Arabidopsis thaliana: one gene and its partners. The protein of the gene in region 1 interacts with the protein of each later gene in a pairwise test. Each region holds a gene or a part of one and is shown in the gene's direction. Other genes may lie near its edges. The genes, in order: NF-YB7, GT-1, AT2G18850 and WRKY42.

The links.
Region 2: the proteins of NF-YB7 (region 1) and GT-1 interact in a two-hybrid assay, tested with the Arabidopsis thaliana proteins (one large-scale study listed by BioGRID).
Region 3: the proteins of NF-YB7 (region 1) and AT2G18850 interact in a two-hybrid assay, tested with the Arabidopsis thaliana proteins (one large-scale study listed by BioGRID).
Region 4: the proteins of NF-YB7 (region 1) and WRKY42 interact in a two-hybrid assay, tested with the Arabidopsis thaliana proteins (one large-scale study listed by BioGRID).

Annotation. Positions count from the first base shown.
Region 1 is NC_003071.7:5,654,401-5,658,547, reverse strand, and holds NF-YB7 (nuclear factor Y, subunit B7), read left to right. Parts: upstream 1-2,029; 5' UTR 2,030-2,058; coding exon 2,059-2,706; 3' UTR 2,707-3,157; downstream 3,158-4,147. Other genes in the region: NAD-ME1 (NAD-dependent malic enzyme 1), read right to left, coding at 3,445-3,519, 3,780-3,894, 3,989-4,051.
Region 2 is NC_003070.9:4,612,054-4,617,674, reverse strand, and holds GT-1 (Homeodomain-like superfamily protein), read left to right. Parts: upstream 1-2,415; 5' UTR 2,416-2,559; coding exon 2,560-3,175; intron 3,176-3,438; coding exon 3,439-3,477; coding exon of another isoform or gene 3,478-3,512; intron 3,513-3,785; coding exon 3,786-3,920; coding exon of another isoform or gene 3,921-3,967; exon of another isoform or gene 3,968-4,158; coding exon 4,159-4,389; intron 4,390-4,476; coding exon 4,477-4,676; 3' UTR 4,677-4,944; downstream 4,945-5,621. Other genes in the region: AT1G13460 (Protein phosphatase 2A regulatory B subunit family protein), read right to left, coding at 8-1,171.
Region 3 is NC_003071.7:8,158,648-8,165,149, forward strand, and holds AT2G18850 (SET domain-containing protein), read left to right. Parts: upstream 1-1,952; 5' UTR 1,953-2,140; coding exon 2,141-2,143; intron 2,144-2,259; coding exon 2,260-2,343; intron 2,344-2,533; coding exon 2,534-2,662; intron 2,663-2,731; coding exon 2,732-3,023; intron 3,024-3,105; coding exon 3,106-3,224; intron 3,225-3,310; coding exon 3,311-3,443; intron 3,444-3,529; coding exon 3,530-3,606; intron 3,607-3,693; coding exon 3,694-3,888; intron 3,889-3,973; coding exon 3,974-4,163; intron 4,164-4,242; coding exon 4,243-4,415; intron 4,416-4,507; coding exon 4,508-4,608; intron 4,609-4,696; coding exon 4,697-4,832; 3' UTR 4,833-5,115; downstream 5,116-6,502. Other genes in the region: AT2G18840 (Integral membrane Yip1 family protein), read left to right, coding at 1-150, 777-851, 941-1,201; AT2G18860 (Syntaxin/t-SNARE family protein), read left to right, coding at 5,711-5,793, 5,914-6,004, 6,095-6,502.
Region 4 is NC_003075.7:2,215,721-2,222,120, forward strand, and holds WRKY42 (WRKY family transcription factor), read left to right. Parts: upstream 1-2,321; 5' UTR 2,322-2,658; coding exon 2,659-2,895; exon of another isoform or gene 2,896-3,232; coding exon 3,233-3,331; intron 3,332-3,846; coding exon 3,847-3,993; intron 3,994-4,075; coding exon 4,076-4,462; intron 4,463-4,559; coding exon 4,560-4,673; intron 4,674-4,790; coding exon 4,791-5,393; 3' UTR 5,394-5,530; downstream 5,531-6,400. UniProt on the Arabidopsis thaliana protein: Transcription factor. Interacts specifically with the W box (5'-(T)TGAC[CT]-3'), a frequently occurring elicitor-responsive cis-acting element. Modulates phosphate homeostasis and Pi translocation by regulating PHO1 expression.

The DNA of each region.
Region 1 (4,147 bases):
AATATAGTTTAAAACCTGATGGTGGGAATATTCCCGCTATACAACAGTATCTCAATATTTCCGGTAGAAGGAATTTTAGATTTGTCTTTCATGGTAAAAGAGAAAGATAATTGATAATGTATCCATAAGAATCCATCCACAATATAAATGTATTAATTCGTTTGTCTGATTGGATAATTCATTATCACTGGATGACATTTATATTAAGTTTTAACGTATTTGTAAACATAATTAGCTAGAATGATTTACCAAATAAACAATAGTTCAAAATACACAAAATTATTTATTTTTCTTCGCATTGTTAACTGATATCAAATGTTAGATGCACTTGAAAAAATGTTGTTATGGATGGAACAAACAAATAATATGATACAAACCACTAAAACATTCAACAGCAATATAGAGATAAGATTATCGATATGGTTAATGTATCCATATCAAACGCTTTTCATGTTGAAAGATAAAGATAATTGTTAATGTATCCATATGAATCCATCCACAACATAACTGTATTAATTCGTTTGTCTGATTGGATAATTCACTATGACTGGATGACATTTATATTAAGATTTACAAATAAACATCAATCCAAAGTACATTATCCATGTTTCTTTGACCATTTATCCACATGTATATAGACATGTTGATACAATTTTATCGAGCTATAAACATATTCGCAGCAAATCAAAGACATATTTGTCCATTAATGATTGTCCAAGCAGTCCAGTCCATGATCATCTAAAGACTCACATGATAGTTTCATACTAATACATAAGTTTATACATGAACAATAAACGTCAATCCAAAGTATATTATCCATGTTTCTTTGACCATTTATCCACATGTGTATAGACAGTCAGTTACGTAGACCTCAGTCAGTTAAGGAACTTCTCCAAATCTGCCAACATCTCTACATATTTTAATGTAGACGTAATAGGTTGGTTTGAGGATACGAGGACACCGTCAACAATGAGGAGATAAGCAAGCCGAAGTCTGTGGTAAGAAGATAAGGTCTTGTGATTAACATTTTTGAAATATCACCTAACGTAGCATTCATGTCTTCACCTATTAGCTCTTCACAATGTTGGATATTATAAATAAAATTAGCACACGGTTGAATAATTAGAGCAAATAAAATGATTGGAGAAGATTAATACCTTGCATTTGAGGACCGAGTAGAAGTTACTAGCACACGCCGGAGACGACGAATCGATTGAGAGACAAGAAAATGAAGACCATGACGGGAGAACAAGTGTTGACGACGACGACGGGAGAGGACGAATTAATGTCGGCCGATTGAAAGCTTTGTTGACGATAACGACGGGAGAGGGACGAGGAAATGACTTTGCCGGTAGAAAACTCGTTGGGATGATCGCCGGAGTCGAGATGATGTTATCGTCGTTGTGATGATTTTAACTGCCCAGATAAATGAAACTGTAAAATCGTCGTGAAGGATTGGGTGAGAAAAAGAGGTTTCTCACAAATTGGTTTTAGTTTAGAGATTGAGATTAAAAAATTAAACCGAAAACCGGCTAAATTTGTTAGGTTTTGTTAAACTAACGATTTCAGGGTAAAGGGGTAATTCTACTGAGTTAAAGTGACTAATGCTTTTAAAGTGCCTATTTGTGGCCAAAGTTTCAAAATAGTGCCTTTACGTGTAATATTCTCGGATAAATAACCACCATATATATTTACCAGGCTAGAGTTTAGGAAATTACTATAATACAATAAATCAAAGCATTATGGAGACATGATAATTTATAGTTGTCTACATACTAAATAAACATACTACGGAAAATAATAAATTGAAAACACTATTTGATGACAATATGTTACATGATTGCTATTTTCTTACACTTTTCTTTATTATCTGGCAAATAACAAAGAAAAAAAAAAAAAAAAAAAAAAAGGAGCGAGTCGCATGGAGTTCCAAATTTGGTTGGCAAGGTATCCATAAATAGAAAAGTTGCCTAGTTTCATGCACTAAGCTTAACCATAAAATCAGATTGATCACATGTGGTTAACATCAATCACAAAAAAAAACAAAGAGATAGAGATATGACTGAGGAGAGCCCAGAAGAAGATCATGGGTCTCCTGGAGTAGCTGAAACAAATCCAGGAAGCCCTTCTTCAAAGACCAACAACAACAACAACAACAACAAAGAACAAGACCGGTTTCTTCCCATTGCGAATGTCGGAAGGATCATGAAAAAAGTTCTTCCCGGTAACGGTAAGATCTCAAAAGACGCTAAAGAAACCGTTCAAGAATGTGTCTCGGAGTTCATTAGTTTCGTCACTGGTGAAGCTTCTGACAAGTGTCAAAGAGAAAAGAGGAAGACCATCAATGGAGATGATATCATTTGGGCTATCACAACTCTCGGTTTCGAAGACTACGTGGCTCCATTAAAGGTCTACCTCTGCAAATATAGAGACACCGAAGGAGAGAAAGTTAACAGCCCAAAACAACAACAACAAAGACAACAACAACAGCAGATTCAACAACAGAATCATCATAATTATCAGTTTCAAGAACAAGACCAAAACAATAACAACATGTCATGTACTAGTTACATCTCTCATCATCATCCTTCTCCATTCCTACCAGTGGATCATCAACCTTTTCCCAATATTGCTTTCTCTCCTAAATCATTGCAGAAACAGTTCCCGCAGCAGCATGATAATAACATTGATTCAATTCACTGGTGAGAGAGACATTTGCTTTTTTTCTTCTTTCTTTTCACATATTATATGCTTTTCTTTACCTTTTGTGAGTACATCTTGATGCTTATATATATTTGTTGCTATATAGACACTAGACACGTACATTTTGATATTTTCAGTATACCCATGGTTTTGTGTAACAGAAATTCGTCTTCATATATTTTCCGGATTAGTTCGTCTCGAGCAAATATAGCAATCTCTCATGATTTACAACAGTAGAAACTAATTCCATGCTGCTAATTGGATTAGAATACTTACCACCTACGGTTTGAGAGTTAGTGGTCTAGCTTATAAGGTTTCCAGTAGAGAATAGCTTAATTGGAAGAGAATGGTGTATTGTTTCTCATTCATTTACTCATGTTATGATTGATAAAGATGATTGCTTGAATTAAAGAACTTCAAATTGTTCCTCACTCACTACTCTTAGTATCTTGACCTGAAACTATAAGTTATAAAAGTAAATGCATTTCTAATACGATGTATGTAAAATGTTGCTGCTATGAATCTGATTGAATATAACTTCTTTTTTACATATAAATAAGAGAAAGTGGAAGCTATGAATCTGATTGGATAACAAACAACCCAATTATATATTTTTTTTTTTTTTACATAAGAACAAGAGAAAGCAGTAGCTATGAATTTGATTGGGTATAAAGCAACCCCAATTATAAATTTTTACATATAAATAAGAGAAAGTAGACTTATTCATTTTGGGAACCAAACTTAGTCATCCTTGTAGACCAAAGTCGGGTACTCTGGATTCCACATGTTGTTTTCCACATACTCCATCAGCCCCTCCTGCGGAATACACAAGACCGCGTCAACATAACTAACATTTAGGCTTAGTTTCTGGTTTAGTCTTTATTTTCTCTAAGTGAGAAATCAGGTAAACACTCTTCTGTTCTTTACATATAATCAAACCCGATCGACATTCTTCGTAGAATACGATTTTATGATCAGGAGTCCAAAACACGTGAAAGATGGGATGTTGTTTTGACATCTTTTCTTTTTCTATCATTTATGATTATATTAAAGCAAGTCATTAGCTGAATTGTTACCTCATCCAGCTTTTGGATCTCTCGAGCGTCCATTTCTCTATATCCTTCAACCAAATCCTCCTCAATCGCTTCCTTAATCACCGCAGCTGCTATTCTTTTTGTTATGTCTCGTATCCTGAAATTTCAATTCCACATGCCAAATGTAGCAACTATATCAAAACATTTTCTTATGTAACAGTAAGGATGTTCTTTGATTGTGTTACTCTTACCTTGATATTGGAGGGTATATAATCCCCTCTAGCACTTCTTCTTCGCTCATGTATGCTGCTAGGCTGCAGTAGTTTAGCAGAACAATGTCATGATTCCACATTCATAAATTACGGGACTTGTTTATTTTCATGGTCTCCTTAAAAATATGAGTTTTACAC
Region 2 (5,621 bases), on another chromosome or scaffold:
CAATTACCTGAAAATGGAGACTGTTCAAACACCGAGCAACTTGGCGAAACAATGGGACCATACACCGTTGGAATTCAGGTGGTTGAGTTGCTTCTAATACTTCCTCTAGCTCGTTTAGAAACATGACTTCTTTGGAACTATTTGTGACAGGCCAAGACTTGAGTAGTCCCCTTATAACCGTATCAGCGAGTTTGCAATCTTTTTCCACAAACTGTGTGATACAATAAGACAATTGCTGATGATACATTTGCAAGCTTTTCGGTTTGTGAAGAGGTACCAAAGCTCTAACCAAAAACACTTTATGCTCGTCTTTAAGCGGCAGAGCAAATCCATTGATGATACTTCCCAAAATCTCTAGAAACTCAGCAATCCCATTGTGTTTCTCAGTCTCGAAAACAAACCGATAGAAAATGTTATTAATGGATTTCCTTATGAAAGGACGATGAACCATAAATTTACCGTAGATGCGATGTAGAACGGTCTTAAGACAATCTCTTTCTCTAGGATCCTCTGAATCAAATAAATCAAGTAACCTTGAGACAAAAGATTGGTCAATGTATTTCTTAGCCAGCTTGGTGTCTGTCTCTGGTGAAGCAATAAGCCGCAGGAGAATTTCATAGACAAGCTGCAAGTGAGGCCAAGTAGGATCCATAGAAGGCTCTTCTTCCTCCAAGTCTAACGCATCAATAACTTTATTCTCGCGCGGTTGAGGATTCAAGGTTCTGAATATGTTAACAGAAACCATTCTAACCACTTCTTGAATCACAGTTTCACTAAACTTTCCATTAGGAGAAGCTACATAATCCACAAGCTCAAGCAATGTCTGCCGCTTAATATCCTTTTCCTTAACGTTCTTCGTTGGATCCGAGAAATCGAAAACAACACAGCACAAGCTGAGTTTTCTCACAAACAAGTTCTGTTTCTCTGCATTAGGAACATCTTTGAAACCTGGCAATGCTTCATATGGAGTGAAACCGTTACCATTTCCTTTCAAATTCCCTTCTTTAAACCCTGAATCAGCAGAAGGTTTTACAGGAGGAGCGTTCTGGGTTTGAGAATTACCCGATTTACTGGCGCCATTATCACTACTTTTTGAAGTGGAACTAGATGAAGAAGAATGGTTCTTAGAAGAAGACTTCTTAGGAAGCTTACTCAGAATCTGTTTCCACATAGTGTATTAAACTCAGATTCTTCTTTGTTCATATCCCCAAAACAAACATCTAGAAGAACAATTTCATCAACTCCATCTGAATAACAGAACAAAAAAACAAGAAAAACAGATTAAGAACCTGAAATATTGAAGATATGATACTAAAACACACACAAAGTTAGTTATATCAAGAACCTGAAATGGAGATAAATCCCAAAATTTACCAAATTTATTACAACAAAACCATTTTTTCTTCTTCTTTATTCACTCACGAAACTCAGAAACAGAAAAAAATCACCACTACAAACCATAAAAATCGAAACTTTCGATTCTGATTCTGAAACAAACGCAATCACAAAATCAAAAATCAAGAGAAATCGCACATTACAACACCTCCGATTGCACAAAACAAAGGTCAAAAGTAGGAAAAAAAAAACGATGAATAATGAAATAAAAAAAGCTTACAAAAATTCACATTCAAGTTCTTCTTCCAAAAAAAAACCTCCTTCGATGTTGTTGATTGACTTTGAAATTAAGAATTTGTACCCTTTAGATTTGGCTCAAATCATTGCGAATTGTTGTTATTGTTCTTGATTTTGGTTTTCTTTCTTCTTCTTTGAGATTTGTGACTTCTCGTGATCCAGTTATCTATCATTCTCTCTTCTCCTCCGATGGCTGATCAAACTTTTTTTTCTCAATTCTATTTTAATTTAATTTTAATTGTTTTTTTATTCCCCTTTATTTTAATATTGTTTTTTTTTGTGTGTGTGTTCGGTCTGGCCTGCCAGGTCCACTCCTCCCTCACTTGAATTAGTAATTTTTACAGAATTTTCAAGCTGACAACACTTCAAAATGTTTTAAAATTCCAGATTTTAATTGCCGACCGTAACACTATTATACGACATAGTTTTGAATGTATGTAATAAAATCGGTTATATTGGTTTGGTTTTTCGGTTCAATCTTTCTTGTGTTTAATACAAACTTAATTTCGGTTTATGGTTTTAGTTATTGTTTTGTTCCAAAGAAGAGTGTCTCATTTCTTTTTTGACATTTTCTCCCTTCGAATCTTTGATGCATTTGGTCTTATGGATGCACACAAGATGTAAGTTATATATCAGATGCCAAGGTGATGAAGTTTGATGCATCAAGATACAAACATCACATGCTAATATTTGCAATAACAGATTGACATTACAAAGTTTATATGGCAAAAACATTCAAACCAATTTATATAACCAAAACTTTAAATTTGTAATTATCCTTATCCAAAACCAAATCTCTAGACTAAGATAGAGAAAACCTAACTTAAAGTTAAAACCTTTTTTTTCATTTTGTTCTGAGGGGGCTTTTGTGTTGACGGTGGTGGGAACAAAGGAACATCGTATCCATTCTGTCCGGGAAACACAGCAATGTTCATTTCCGACAAATCTCGTCCTACTGATTTCTACAAAGACGATCATCACAATTCCTCCACCACCAGCACCACACGCGATATGATGATCGATGTACTCACCACTACCAACGAATCAGTAGATCTACAATCTCACCACCACCACAATCACCACAATCATCATCTCCACCAATCTCAGCCACAACAACAGATTCTCCTCGGAGAAAGCAGTGGAGAAGATCACGAAGTTAAAGCACCAAAGAAACGAGCGGAGACATGGGTTCAAGACGAAACTCGTAGCTTAATCATGTTCCGTAGAGGTATGGATGGTTTATTCAATACATCCAAATCTAATAAACATCTCTGGGAACAGATTTCGTCTAAGATGAGAGAAAAAGGGTTTGATCGATCTCCGACTATGTGTACTGATAAATGGAGGAATCTGTTGAAAGAGTTTAAGAAAGCTAAGCATCATGATAGAGGAAATGGATCGGCGAAGATGTCGTATTACAAAGAGATTGAAGATATTCTTAGAGAGAGGAGCAAAAAAGTGACACCACCACAGTATAATAAGAGCCCTAATACACCACCTACATCAGCCAAAGTTGATTCCTTTATGCAATTTACTGATAAAGGTATAAACTTTGGCATCAATTGTAGATTTCTTGATTTGGATTCAGAGAACGTAACTGTGATTATGGTTTTTGTTGCTACTATTTGGGAAAATTCTTATCTGTATCTTAGGCTGAGAAGATACTACATTTTAGAGTAGGTTTCTTATTGTGGTTTTTCAGTTATCTTTAAAGAAGATGATAGTTTTGGTAAATGAATCTGCGTATGTGGATTTTGTGCCTTTAATTTTCTTTTGGCTAAGTGGTAATTTTATCTTTCATTGTAGGTTTTGATGATACGAGCATTTCTTTTGGATCCGTTGAAGGTACTTATCTATCACTATTAGTTTGTTTATTATAGTATCTTGCTATGTATACAAAGAGACGAGCTTTTGTTTGTCTACTGCCTCTTGAAGTTGTCTTTTAAGTTGGTCGAAAACATCTCCCTGAGTGAGCAATAGTAGAGGTATGAACTTGCTTAGTGAAGTGAACATTTGGGACTGAAACAAATAGTAAACATGACTGTGCCGTAGAATTCACAGGCAGTTTCTGTGTTAGATGGTTTAGTTTTGTTTCTAGAGGATGTGTGTGTGTGTGTGTATGTTTGAAAAGTGTATATATATCTATGTTTCAGCTAATGGCAGGCCAGCCTTAAACCTTGAAAGGCGTCTTGATCATGATGGTCATCCTCTTGCAATCACTACAGCAGTTGATGCTGTTGCAGCAAATGGAGTTACTCCTTGGAATTGGAGAGAGACTCCTGGAAACGGCAAGTCCTCAGAAAAAGCTTATATAAACTTAAGCCTCAAAGTTTAATTTTCTATAAGGCTAAAGATATGTTTTTTGAACTGTATGTTTATGTTCCAAGCATGGTGTAATATGTGTAAGAATCCACGTTTTCTCATTTTGAGGTTGCTTCACAGCCTCTGCTCCTCTGCTTGATTTATTCGTTCGGTCTCTTTATAACTGAGTAGAGCTTTTCATTTGTTTCATGTTTATACAAGCAGGTGATGATAGTCATGGTCAGCCTTTTGGTGGTAGGGTCATAACAGTGAAATTTGGTGACTATACAAGAAGAATCGGTGTTGATGGTAGTGCAGAAGCAATCAAAGAGGTAATCAGATCTGCTTTTGGGTTAAGAACTCGAAGGGCTTTTTGGTTAGAAGATGAAGATCAGATTATTCGCTGTCTTGACCGAGACATGCCCTTAGGGAACTATCTACTCCGTCTGGATGATGGTAAGATTAAATTTGCCACTATTCGTATCTTTTGAACTGTGTGTGTGTTTTTTACTGAATTGTCAGTATGCAAAACCCATCTTGCAGGACTGGCCATTAGGGTTTGCCATTATGATGAATCCAACCAATTACCAGTCCATTCAGAAGAGAAAATCTTCTACACTGAAGAAGACTACCGCGAGTTTCTGGCTCGACAGGGATGGTCAAGCCTGCAAGTTGATGGTTTTAGGAACATAGAAAACATGGATGATCTTCAACCTGGTGCTGTGTATCGAGGTGTGAGATGAGGAAATGAGATCACAAAACTTCTTCTCCAATTCTATCAACAGTTATCTGATCAGAAAACAGTCCCCTGTAGATATGATCTCATTCTCTTTATACATTTCTTCTTTTTTTCATGTACTTGCTCAAATATGAAATATCATAACTGGCATTTACCGTACAGACCAAGAAGACCTCAAAATAGATTTTTGGTCTGTTACATTTGTAAGAACAGAACATAAGAGAAGTGAATAAATTGTTCACAATCAGACGAGCGAGTGTTTGTGTGTGGTATCAGAGTCATTCTTCATCCCTTTTATTGTTCTTGTATGAAATGAGTGTGTTCGACCTTGTCAATCTGCAAAGCCAGAGAAACTTTCTGAACTTATACTACTGAGAAAACACTATAATGATTTGATTAACAAACACTAGTATCAAAGAATGTAATTCAACCACTCTCTTGATCCAGGTGAACGGTACAGCCACATCGGTATCAGTAAATGCTCCCAACACAACAAACACACCTTATCCAACCGCCAAGCCGATTAATGTCTCTCTCTCTTACATGTTTCATGGAGACAAGGCAAGCAAGTTATGCTGGAAGCAACTTGTCTCATTATAGCTTGAATCTCCCTCGTGATCTCCTTATTACTTTTCTCCTTTGAGACAGCGTGAAAAGGAGGAAGACAGAATCAAGACAGCATAAACATCACAAACATACAAATGAAACTGAGTTAATTGAAATGTTTATGCATAAATAAACCAACTTCTAGATCTTAAATATCACGTAAGTGGAATAACATTGGTTATAAGCAGATCATCAGGATAAGATTCCAATAGTTAAAGTTTTGCGTCAATAATTGTTTTTGTCGAGAAGGTTTGCATCAATTATTGCATCTTTCTTTCTATCTTTTTTTTTCTTTCTCTTAGAATCGAATTTTAACATATACTTTGATAATGATATATTGTGG
Region 3 (6,502 bases), 2.5 Mb from region 1:
CGGATCGTGAGTAATTTGAAGCTTGTGGTGTTTCCTAATCCGTATAGGGAAGATCCTGGGAAGGCTCTTAGAGATTGGGATCTTTGGGGTCCGTTTTTCTTCATTGTGTTCTTGGGTCTTACTCTTTCATGGTCAGCTTCCGTCAAGAAGGTTAGCTCTCAGATCAGTAGCTAGTTTCTCTCAGCTTTAAGCTTGTGTGATCTAAATGTGATCTGGAACTTTAGCTTTTAGGTATCTGATAGAGTTCTTTAGAATGTCTCTGTTACAGAAAATGAGTGGGATTAAAGATAGCATTTCACTTCATTGCATTAAGATTGTTCCTTCAATTGTGAATTGTTTGATTATAGATGGAACACGATGACGGGAAACAAGGATTGAGTTACAGAAAATTAGGAGTTTTTAAATGGGAGTGAAGATAGCATTTCCACTTCTTTGCATTAAGATTGTTCTCCAATTGTGATTTTTTAGATTATAGAAGGAACATGATGAAGAAAAATGAGGACTGTTCTTGTGGCATTGCTTCTCACTTGATTCTTAGGCTATAGGTTATATAAAGCTTCTTTCTTGTACAGTGGATCATGTAGGATTTTGACTCACAAAGTAGCACTTTGGATGCACTATTCTGAGTTATTAGCATGTAGGTCTGATTAAAGGATTGAATTTGAATCTGATGTAATTACAGCTTATCTTGCCGATATTGAGTGGCTTTTCATAGAATGCTATCTATTATCTATCAGAATTCGTCTTTGTCTCATACCTTTTCCCTTTGATTCCAGTCCGAGGTATTTGCAGTGGCATTTGCACTATTAGCAGCCGGGGCGGTGATCCTTACACTAAACGTGCTTCTCCTGGTAAACCACCACTGCTCTCTCCTTGTATCTCGTGCAGATGTTTTTCGTTTGATCACATACTTACAACCATTATGTTGTGTCATGAACAGGGTGGACATATAATCTTCTTCCAAAGCTTGAGCCTTCTAGGTTACTGTTTATTTCCGCTAGACGTTGGAGCCGTGATCTGCATGTTGAAAGACAATGTGATACTGAAGATGGTGGTTGTGTCTGTAACCCTTGCCTGGAGCTCATGGGCTGCTTACCCTTTTATGAGCTCAGCGGTTAACCCAAGAAGAAAAGCACTCGCTCTATACCCCGTCTTCCTCATGTATGTGTCAGTCGGTTTTCTCATCATAGCCATCAATTGAATCCCCAATTTTGAGAAGAAAAAGGGAATCATCACAGGTATTCTCAGGAATCAGCTTGGATAGAAATTTTTCATACATACACAAACCATCCTGAGTTCTGATGATCATGTATAAACATGTTTTGTTACCCTTTTTTGTGGGTTTGGTTAAAAAGAAGATCATCATTTGTATGTGCCCCGCTCTATCTGCATTAAGCTTACATTTATCTTTTTGGCCATAAATACAATTTTTTTACCAAACATTACTTCATATGGTTTCTCGAGATAGTATCGACATGCAATTTTGTTGGTCGTCCACCCAACCCTAAACACGTGTTATAGTATTAACATGGAAATGTGGAAACCAGATCACAACCATGCTAAAACAAGGGTTAAATTTTATTTAGTAATCATTAGCATAATCGAATAGATTATGAACATATTTTTGATATATAATAATACCAAATTCAATATTTGCTTTAAATTTATATTTATATTTTGGAATCGCAATAAAAAAATTGTTTACACAATCCATCATTCGTTATTTTCAAAATTATTCTACTTATTTTATTCATTTCAAAATTATTCGAATACATTAATGAACATCATTCATTTTTCAATTTTTTTTTGTTATTCAACTTATTTATTCATTTTTATTTATTTATTCAACTTTTTAATTTTTATTTTGTTGTTAGCTTCCATTTGCATATGCTTCGTATCGTATATCATCACTTCCAGTTTTTTACCGGTTGGGGGGGGGGGGGGGGAAGAAGCAGAGATGATTCGTCAACAAACAAAAACGAATTTATTTTGAACCAAACCGGATGTATATTTTAAACCGAAATCAAACCGGGAAAACCTGTATTGACGAGCCCTCTTCTTCTTCAGCTAGTGAGAGGCTGCCTCACTTGCTTGCTGGTTTGATACTGCCAAGTTTTTCGCTTTCTCAGCTCTTCCTTCGATGGTAATCTTCAAATTCCTTTCCTTTAGACCCTTATTAATCTTATTGCTTTTGTAATAGACTTGGTTTAGTGTGTTTTTTGTCGTAGCGAGTTTAATCTTGTTGCTGGTTATTGTAAGGTTGGTGCTTTGAATATCATGTCAGAGACTGGTGATTTATGTGTAGAACTTCCCAAAGATGATCCCTTTTATCACCACAAAAAGGTTCAATTTCCTAATTTCTCTGCTCTTCTGTTATCTCAATACTCAAAGCCATTAGCTTTTTTTTTGCCTTATAGTCTAAAGATCAGATTTTTCATGTGCCAAAGTCTTAAAATATTACACTGTTTAGTTTTTCTCATGTTTTGTTTGAGTTTTTATGAAAATGAATTTTCTTATGATTTTGTGTCTGTAGAAGTTCTTGAGTTGCAAAGGTTTATGCGTAAAGGAAACATTGAACCTCAGTGGATCATTATCTCAACAACTGTTGAATGCTGCATTGGAAAAGTTGCTTCATTTTGGACGAATAGTTAATCTCGATAAGGTAAGCAAACATCGTAGGCCATTGTAATGCATGTGAAGTTGCTTAGATGATGGATTGAGTGAAATGCAGGTGGAAGTTTACTTTGGTGAGGATGCTTGCACTCCTGCAGGAATTTACAGTGTTAGAAACGAAATCTCAGCTCTCAGCTGGATCCTTTCGCTTATACCGGTTTCTTGTAAGATGCAAACACAAGTTGATACCTTTGAAGCTCTACGAGCTGCTTTAAAAGGTAGAATCAATGAGGTTGTTGGAGCTGAAAAGGAGAAAGCTAGAGTTGTTGATAGCTATAGATGCGAAAAGGAAAGCAAATTAGTAGAATGGGGTCAGGACAATGGAGTCAAAACCAAATTGCAGATAGCTCGTAAGCTTAACGGTTTTTTTCTGTTATGAAGTTATCAACAGAGATTTAAGTTTATGACAATGTGTTTTATAAATTTGGATAGAAATTGATGGCTATGGACGAGGAGCTATAGCTAGCGAAGACTTGAAATTTGGCGATGTTGCTTTAGAGATTCCAGTCTCAAGTATCATTTCGGAGGAGTATGTGTACAACTCCGACATGGTATATCATTTGAGTTCATCCTGATTTAAAGATTGCGTCAGTTTCATCATAGCAATGCTATATGATGAGTGTTCTCTTGTCTTCAGTACCCAATATTGGAGACGTTTGATGGCATTACATCTGAGACAATGCTGCTCTTATGGACCATGAGGGAAAAGCATAACCTGGACTCGAAATTCAAACCATACTTTGACTCTCTGCAAGAGAATTTTTGTACCGGTAAAATTGTTTGGAGAACTAAATATTCAATTCTTGTAGCAGTGTTTGTTTCAAAGAGACAACAAACATTGATTCTCTCATTGCAGGTTTGAGTTTTGGGGTTGATGCAATCATGGAGCTTGATGGTACATTGCTTTTAGATGAAATAATGCAAGCTAAAGAGGTGTGACTTGATCCCATCTCTTATCTTTTGGTTCTGTGATTTGTATTATGTTCTTGATTCCATTGGCAATTGTTTGTATATCTGCAGCTTTTGCGTGAGAGGTATGATGAATTGATTCCTCTTTTATCGAACCACCGGGAAGTATTTCCACCGGAGCTCTATACATGGGAACATTACTTATGGGCTTGTGAGTTGTATTACTCAAATAGCATGCAAATCAAATTCCCAGATGGAAAGCTGAAGACTTGCTTGATTCCTGTCGCCGGTTTTCTCAACCATTCTGTATGTGTCTTCTCTCGTTCTGCCTCTGGTATACTAAGTAATTCCTATCACTATCCGGAATATGATAATTTGGCGGGTTTTGCAGATATACCCACACATAGTGAAATATGGAAAAGTAGACATTGAGACGAGTTCCTTGAAGTTCCCAGTCTCAAGGCCTTGCAACAAAGGGGAACAATGTTTTCTTAGCTACGGAAACTACTCTAGTTCGCATCTGTTAACATTTTACGGATTTCTACCAAAAGGGGATAACCCGTATGATGTCATTCCCTTAGGTAGTTTAACCTTACCTCATTCTGAGATCACTCAGGCTTACATGCTTTTTTTGCTTTAAGTTGTATCTCTTCCTTGCAGATTTTGATGTCATTGATGATGAAGACATCGAGACCGAGTTTTCTTGGACAACTCACATGTTACGCGGGACTTGGCTATCGAGTAATCACAACATCTTCCACTACGGCTTGCCTACTCCATTGTTGAACTACTTGCGCAAAGCTCATGGTCTTGTTCATCATTCTGAAACAGATGTATATATTCTTCATCACCTTCGTATAACTACATCTATATCTCTATGAATCTAACACTTAAGATATTTTTCTCATTTCTTGATTCTTTTAAGTTATGGAAGAACTTGGAAGTTGAGATAGGAGTACTTGAGAATCTCCAATCCACATTCGACGACATGATGCAAAATCTTGGCGATGCAGATTCTATCGACAGGTATCAGTAGTTGTCTTGTCATGATATACAAAAGCTGAAACAGAGTGACCAATTACTTAGTAATCCGTCTGGTTTTACACTTTTACAGAGAAAACGCGGATTGGGATGTTAAACTAGCGATGGAGTTCAAAGAGCGGCAGAGAAAGATTGTCTCATCCATTCTTGATTCATGTTCTGCAGGTATCAAACTAGTTCAAGAATCCATAACTAACCCACCGGTTTAGCTAAGGTAGAATGAGATGAGAACCTGATCTTGGATTCAGCTTATACTGTATTATGAAATGTATCTTCTTGACAAAGTTAAATTGTGTGAGTTAAAAGACTTTAGTTCAATTTTAGTTACATTTTAGTTACATTTTAGTTACATACTTCCTCTGTTTAATCTCATTAGACACCTCTTTTTTTCTTGCTTATATAATTGCTTCATATCCACGTAATCTCATTAGACACCTCTTTATATAATCTCATTAGAATTTATAAATTTATGTACTTACGTACGTACGTACGTGTGCGACTAACCCTAGACAAATTAACCGAATACTCTTTTTTTTGCAAATGCATCACGCATGGTACCCTAATAGTGGTGTCTCCATCATTTGTCATTACTTTCTGAATGCAAAATGAGTAATCAGATTCATTAACATTTGACTAATACTATATTTTCTCATATTTTTTGTGGGCATAGAGAATTATCAGTATTTTGAGCATATTATAAAAGTAATCTCAAATGGGAAACATAACAAATAATAAAAAAGAATGAAAAAGTTGATGTGGCTGCTGGTGGCAGCAAATTGGCGGACCCCATCTTCCAGGTTACATTCTTGTCGTTTTCCAGCTTCTTAACACAGAGCTATAATCTCATGCACCAAAGAGCATACTAATATCCTATGTCTCCGAGTAATAATCAGCCACGTTTCTATAATAGACACAAGTTGGTGTGACACTGACAAGAAAATAAATAAGATTTATAGAAAGTGGGAACAGAACACAAAAAAAAAGCTGAAACAAAGAGTTCGAGAAAAATTTCGATTCTCTTGCTCGTAAAAGCTTCTTTTGATTCTCTTTGACTCTGTTTTGTGGATAGCTCCTGAAGAAGAAGAAGATGATGGTAGTGAACAGCTTTGATCTATGGCAAAAAGATGTTTTCTTCTCTGCAGCTGAAGAGGTTCAAAAATCTACAGATATGTATGGTTTCTTGTTAGATTTTGATCTTGTAATCTCTTCTTTGAGCTTAGCTTTTGATCTTGCATAAATTAAGAGATTGAGATGTGTTTAATTTGCTATTGTTCTTTACTTGGATTTTAGAATGGAGTCTGCTTATAGATTGTGGATTAGAGAGAAGAAAGATGAGATTTGTAAGGAACTTCAAGCAGCTTTAGGTACAGCTAAATGGCAGGTACAATAATGTTTCTTGAAACATTTCTGGTTTAGTTGTGTTCTTGTTCTTGTCTAGTTCTTGAAAAGTTTTGAAACTGTGTTGAATCAGTTGGAGGAGTTTGAGAAGGCAGTGAGATTGAGTCATAAACGGTGTGGGGATAATGATTCTTCATCCACACGGCATAAACAGTTTGTTACCGCTATTGAAAACCAGATTCATCGCGTAGAAACTTCTCTGCAAGAAGCTTATAGTGAAAATGGGAAAAAGCCTCTCCGTTGGGTTGATCTTAATGAAGAAGAGCGTGATGACTTAGCAATGTTTCTCTCTGGATCTTCTCGAACTTCACAGAGTTTTAGTGGTGAGAGCAGCATCAAGTCGAGAGAGTCTACTAATAGTTCTCTAGTTGAAAACGTTATGGAAGTTTCAGCTAAAGTAACATTCAAGAAAGCTAAAGTTTATGGTGATGGCTCTGAGTGTGTCATAGACATTGAAGAAAGAGTGACACCTGGCCAAGCA
Region 4 (6,400 bases), on another chromosome or scaffold:
TTTAAATTTTTAGTTACACAAAGAGTGGTGGTAATAAAACGAAAGAATAACCAGTTGTTCAATATGACTCAAATACTAGTTTAGAATTCATTTCGAAATTCTCGGATTTAAAGAAAAATGAGTCCAAACGTTAAAAACTAATTAATGATATATAATATTTTGATAATTTACCAATTTGGAACTTTTTATTTATAGAAAACTTAGTGGGACTCACAGCCAGTCACCGGTCAGTAATGTGTGAGGTATTCCATTAATCTCGTTGACTTAGCTCAACCATTGTCTATTGTCTGTTGAAATCAAATTTTTACGGAGAACAAAAGTTTATGCAAAACTAATATTAGTAAGTGTCTTGAAATATTAAATATTTTAAAAGATTAGCTCAACTCAAAACCTTAGTCTTTCAATTTATATGATGAATCTTTCAAAACCACCACAAAATCTTTATTTAAGCTTGTAGATACATTAGACACATCATCACAAAATTTTCGTACATGTTTGAGTCTATGTGATTTATTTAATAGGCATTAAATAGAAATAAAGCTTTTAATAATTTCAATCACGTGTGAAGCGGCGATTGAATTGCGAACGGTGATGAGATGCATTTCTATTTTCTGATCTATTTTTTCTATGAACAAGTCAAAAGTCTTTCTAATAGAAAAAGGGAAAAAGAAAAATAATTTTAAGTAATTTAGTCCAAAAAAAAAGAAAAATCTATTATGAGAATTATGCTAAAAATAGTTTTTTCTTATCTAAAGCTCCTATATTTGACTATCAACCAAGGATTCAAAGTTTTACTAATTAGGACAAAGTCTTTGAAAACATTTCGTAGATTAGAGTGCTTTTTTTAGAAAAAATATTCTTCGGTGAGATTTTTCAGTAGAATAGATTGGTCAATATTAATTTATATAATCCCAATATATATAACTAAACCCTTTAAAGAAAAAAAAACATTCTAGATGATACTACGATAATTTACCAATTTAGTACTTTTTATTTCTTTTTATCTGTTTATTAGTTAAAATAACTTTTGTTGTTTAAACAAATTATGTCACTTAAACGCAAAATTCAATTTCGTTTTCTCTGTTTGTTTTCCTAATTAAACTTTTAGTAGAGTATATGAAGTACGTAATTAACCATTTTCCAATATTAGTCAAGTGACTTTGACTTTTTTGAATAAATAATCTTCTAGATGATTACAGTTTAGTCCCAAATTAGTAAAAATTTCAAGGGTGATTTAAATAAATAACATGTTAATTTATCTGATATCACTGTATTTCAATAAAATGTGCCGTTTTGTATTTCTTTTGCTTATGACATGTTAAAACAGTAAAATATTGCAGTTAATCAAAAACAATAGTCTTTCATGTATTAATTCAATTTTACTCGAGTACAAAAAAGTATTAATCAAAACATATGCATTTCCATTAACTAGTTAAAATGACCCCGACTTTTGTCTATAGAAATATAATTTTATGATTGATTGACGAGGATTTTGTTATAGGTTGTGTTAGTGTTTTCGTTATGTTATAGTGGATAGTCCACATTGTTGACACAAATTATATGATTATTAAAATTCTAATTTATGTATGATTTAAACAAACAACATGTTAATTTATCTGATAGTAAGTGTTACTATCAGAAAACACGAAACTTTACACCTTAATATATAATACGTGTTTGCTAATTTACCCAATAACAACTTATCTTACTAAATATAGAATTTTGCTAGGATACGAAAACGTATTTTAATGGTACATTTTCTCCAATTTACTATATTTTCTATCATAATACGTCAAGTAATTCTTTAAGAGAAGAATCAACCTAATTTTTTAAGAATATCAGCAAACCGCAAGAAGTGGCTTTAAGGAAAAAAACAACTTCTTTAATAAATCATACCTCTTCGTTGACAAAAAAAAAAGAAAAAAAAAGCACACAACTCCCTCTCGTAAGCAACAGTTGATTAGTTTTACTCTTTTCGAATTGCTTGATCCAACAACACGTCTGTAATATAAAACAAATTGTTGGGTCGTATGATATATTTGTTAACTTTGGACAAAAAAATGACATGTTTGTTAATAATATAGGTCTATGACGTCGACACTGACGAAAAACGAACCAAAACAAATCTTCACAAATATCTTTCCACGAGAATCTAAGATTTAAACCGATATTATTATGTAGAAGCAGACATAAAACAAATATAGACAACAATATTGTCTTTATATAACAATATTGCTTATTAAAAAAAAAAAGAGAGTTATAAATAATATTAGTAGAAAAAATTGACAATATCTGAGTCCACGTCAAAACCCTTTTTGTAGCCGAAGCATCTGGTTCTCTATCCTCGTCTCTAACCACATACTAGACAAAGTATCTCTCATATCTCTCTCTTCTAAGATATCTTCTTCTTCACCTCTCTATATATGGATGATTAGATATGGTACGGAACAATCACTCACACACAAAACACACTCTAGATATAAAGGATTAGATACGTAACATATCCTTTTTTTGGTTACTAGGGTTTCGGAAATTTGGATATCAAATTTTAACATCAAGCAAATCATCATCCGTACGTACTCATTCATACTTTTGTAACAAAAAAAAAAAACAATCTAAGATATCTATCAAGATCTTAAGATATCTACATTTATAGAGATGTTTCGTTTTCCGGTAAGTCTTGGAGGAGGTCCACGTGAGAATCTGAAGCCATCAGATGAGCAGCATCAACGTGCGGTGGTGAATGAGGTTGACTTTTTCCGATCAGCGGAGAAGAGAGATAGGGTTTCACGTGAAGAACAAAACATTATCGCCGATGAGACTCATAGGGTTCATGTCAAAAGGGAGAATTCACGTGTTGATGATCATGACGATCGTTCTACTGATCACATCAATGTAAGCAGATGGTTAACTCATCGCTTTTGTTTTCTTTGTTTTTTTTTTATTATCTAGAAGTTCAAGCTAAAAATTCTACATTTCCGATATGCGAAACCCACATTAGATTAAATTCATTTTTTTTGGAGAAGAGATCGTTCCCAACGTGCATCAAACCCAGTACATCCACATGAGAAATTTACCACTGGACCAACAGCTCGTTGGTTACTTCATTGTTTTCCTTTTCGTCAATATCATTTAATTACTTCGGATTTTAGTTAGTAATATTATAAAACAATAATTTCGTTATATAGATGAAAACTTTGTTCATTGAAATGTGTATGATTATTGTAAATAGATTGGACTTAATCTTCTCACTGCGAATACGGGAAGCGACGAGTCAATGGTGGATGATGGATTGTCTGTGGATATGGAAGAGAAACGTACAAAGTGTGAGGTACACTTATTATTCAATTAGTATAGATCATTTTTGAGTAATAATAACAAAAAAAAGACACAACTAGTGTATTTATCGCACGAACCAAAGAAAAAGAGATTGTCAAAATCCAACAAATAAAAAATGATTGTCAAAAACCATCAAGAGTGTATATTTTTGTGCGTCTGTTACGTACGTAAACAATTTTCCGCTTTTCTGATTCGTCAGAATTTTAAATAATATCTGATGACAAAAAAAATAAAAATATTTTTATGCTAAATTTTGATTATTTTTACTGTTCATCTTCATTTTGTCACATAATTAAGCATAAAAAGATATTTTCTGATTTTCTCTACAAATTTTTTATTTCTTAAGAATTAGTAAAAATATACCGTTTTCGTAGACTTAGACATTCTATTTTTATATGTTGTTCGTATCGGTCCGTAAGATCCGGACATGTTAGAGAGATTTACTCTTTCTTACTAGAATGATTTAATGTCTGATACATGATTTTTTTGTTTTTTAATAAAATGAAGAATGCACAACTTCGCGAAGAGCTAAAGAAGGCGAGTGAAGATAATCAAAGACTAAAGCAAATGCTAAGTCAAACAACCAACAACTTCAATTCCTTGCAGATGCAACTTGTTGCTGTCATGAGGCAACAAGAAGATCATCATCACCTAGTAATTAATTAACACTCTAATACGTCTTAATCATTTATTTCATATAATTAGTTAAAGATTTTATACCCTTGTTTTTCATCAGGCTACGACCGAGAACAATGACAATGTAAAGAACCGACATGAAGTGCCTGAAATGGTTCCAAGACAGTTCATCGATTTGGGACCGCATTCTGACGAAGTGTCGTCCGAGGAGAGGACGACGGTTCGGTCGGGATCTCCTCCCTCGCTTCTAGAGAAATCTAGCTCACGTCAAAACGGAAAGAGAGTGCTTGTAAGAGAAGAAAGCCCGGAAACCGAATCCAACGGCTGGAGAAACCCTAACAAAGTTCCTAAACACCATGCATCATCCAGCATTTGCGGTGGCAATGGCAGTGAAAATGCAAGTAGCAAGGTCATTGAGCAAGCGGCCGCCGAAGCCACCATGCGTAAAGCCCGTGTCTCGGTTCGTGCTCGATCCGAAGCTCCCATGGTAATACTAATTAATCTTCCTCTCTAGAATTTCTATGAAGATTGATCTCTACAAATGTTTTTGGAGGTTCATTAACATCAATGACATTGTTTTACAGTTAAGCGATGGATGTCAATGGAGAAAATACGGACAAAAAATGGCGAAAGGAAACCCGTGCCCTCGAGCTTATTACCGTTGCACAATGGCTGTTGGATGTCCTGTTCGCAAGCAAGTACGTTACCTAAACAATTCACACATCTAAAATTATGTTTGAAGGTGATCAATCAAGTGTAATAATTTAGAGAAAAAAAAAATAATGTATTGTAACAAACTCATGATGACCTAACAGGTGCAACGTTGCGCGGAAGATAGAACCATTCTCATAACAACCTACGAAGGAAACCATAACCATCCATTACCTCCTGCGGCTATGAACATGGCTTCAACTACAACAGCAGCCGCAAGCATGCTTCTCTCAGGCTCCACCATGTCGAACCAAGACGGTTTAATGAACCCAACAAATCTCTTGGCTCGAACCATATTACCGTGTTCCTCAAGCATGGCTACTATCTCAGCCTCTGCACCATTCCCAACCATTACATTAGACCTCACAGAGTCACCCAACGGGAACAATCCAACCAATAACCCGCTGATGCAATTCTCTCAACGGTCTGGTTTGGTGGAGTTGAACCAATCGGTTTTGCCTCATATGATGGGTCAGGCTTTGTACTACAACCAACAGTCTAAGTTTTCGGGTTTACATATGCCGTCTCAGCCGCTAAACGCTGGTGAGAGTGTTAGCGCCGCTACTGCCGCAATCGCCTCCAATCCCAACTTTGCCGCGGCTCTAGCTGCAGCCATAACTTCGATTATCAACGGTTCGAACAATCAGCAGAATGGGAACAACAATAACAGTAATGTTACAACGAGCAACGTTGACAATAGGCAATAACATTTTTTTATAAGTTTTAGTTAGGGACTTTTTATCGGTCGATTTTGTTTTGTTTTTCTTTTATTACATTATTTTTTAGTTACGGCTTTTTTTTGTTTTTTCTTTTCTTTCCCAAACAACAAGTATTGAGAGCAATTCCCCCCCCCCCCCCTCTTTTCCTTCTGTATGATCGACAATTGTGTTCAGAAATATAAAATTGCTTAATTTTTCCAGAAGCTATTAATTCTTATGAAGTCATCAAATGCGCATCTATGTGCCATTAATTATGATCAAACTCGATGTATTGTGCCTAAAACGGAAGCTCAACAAGCAAATGCTTTAGGCATTATAAATATATTATGATTTTAGGGCATCAAATTTAAGAAATCTCCTTACAGTGTAGCCGTTTGTGTAATATTTTATTGGTGGGTCAATAATATTTTTTGCTTTAGGGAGCCCAAACACTTAGACTCTGAACATCGGTACGATGTTTTATTTGTGGTGGATATATGGAACTGCTATTAACGTACTTACTCACTCTAAAATTAGTCGATGCTGACCTCAAGAGTTTGGCTTGTGAAAAGTTGATGACCAGACTAAATCGATATGTCACTTGTCAAGTGTGGCATTATTTTAAAGGTTGGTTAAATATATAATTTAAGTGAAAGATTGGACATTTTATCCAAAAAAAAACAGAATTAGACTGGATTTTGAGAAAGTGAAGAATGTTCCCGCATACGCAAATAGAAACATAGTTGAGAAACTAGGATATCTACATTTGTATTATAAAATAAATTATACTATGGCTTTGAATGGGTCCATATGACGTGGATTGGACAATGCGCATATCAATATTTTAATAAGAAAAATGTCGGAATATAGTATATATGGAGCAAACAATATGTTGGTATAAAGTTTATATATGATGATATGGAGTTTTTGGAGAGTAGAATGAAAAAAAGTCAGACTAACAGTTAATTTATAATGGTATCAAATTTTATGCTAAGTGTGTACTAGTATGAAAATTT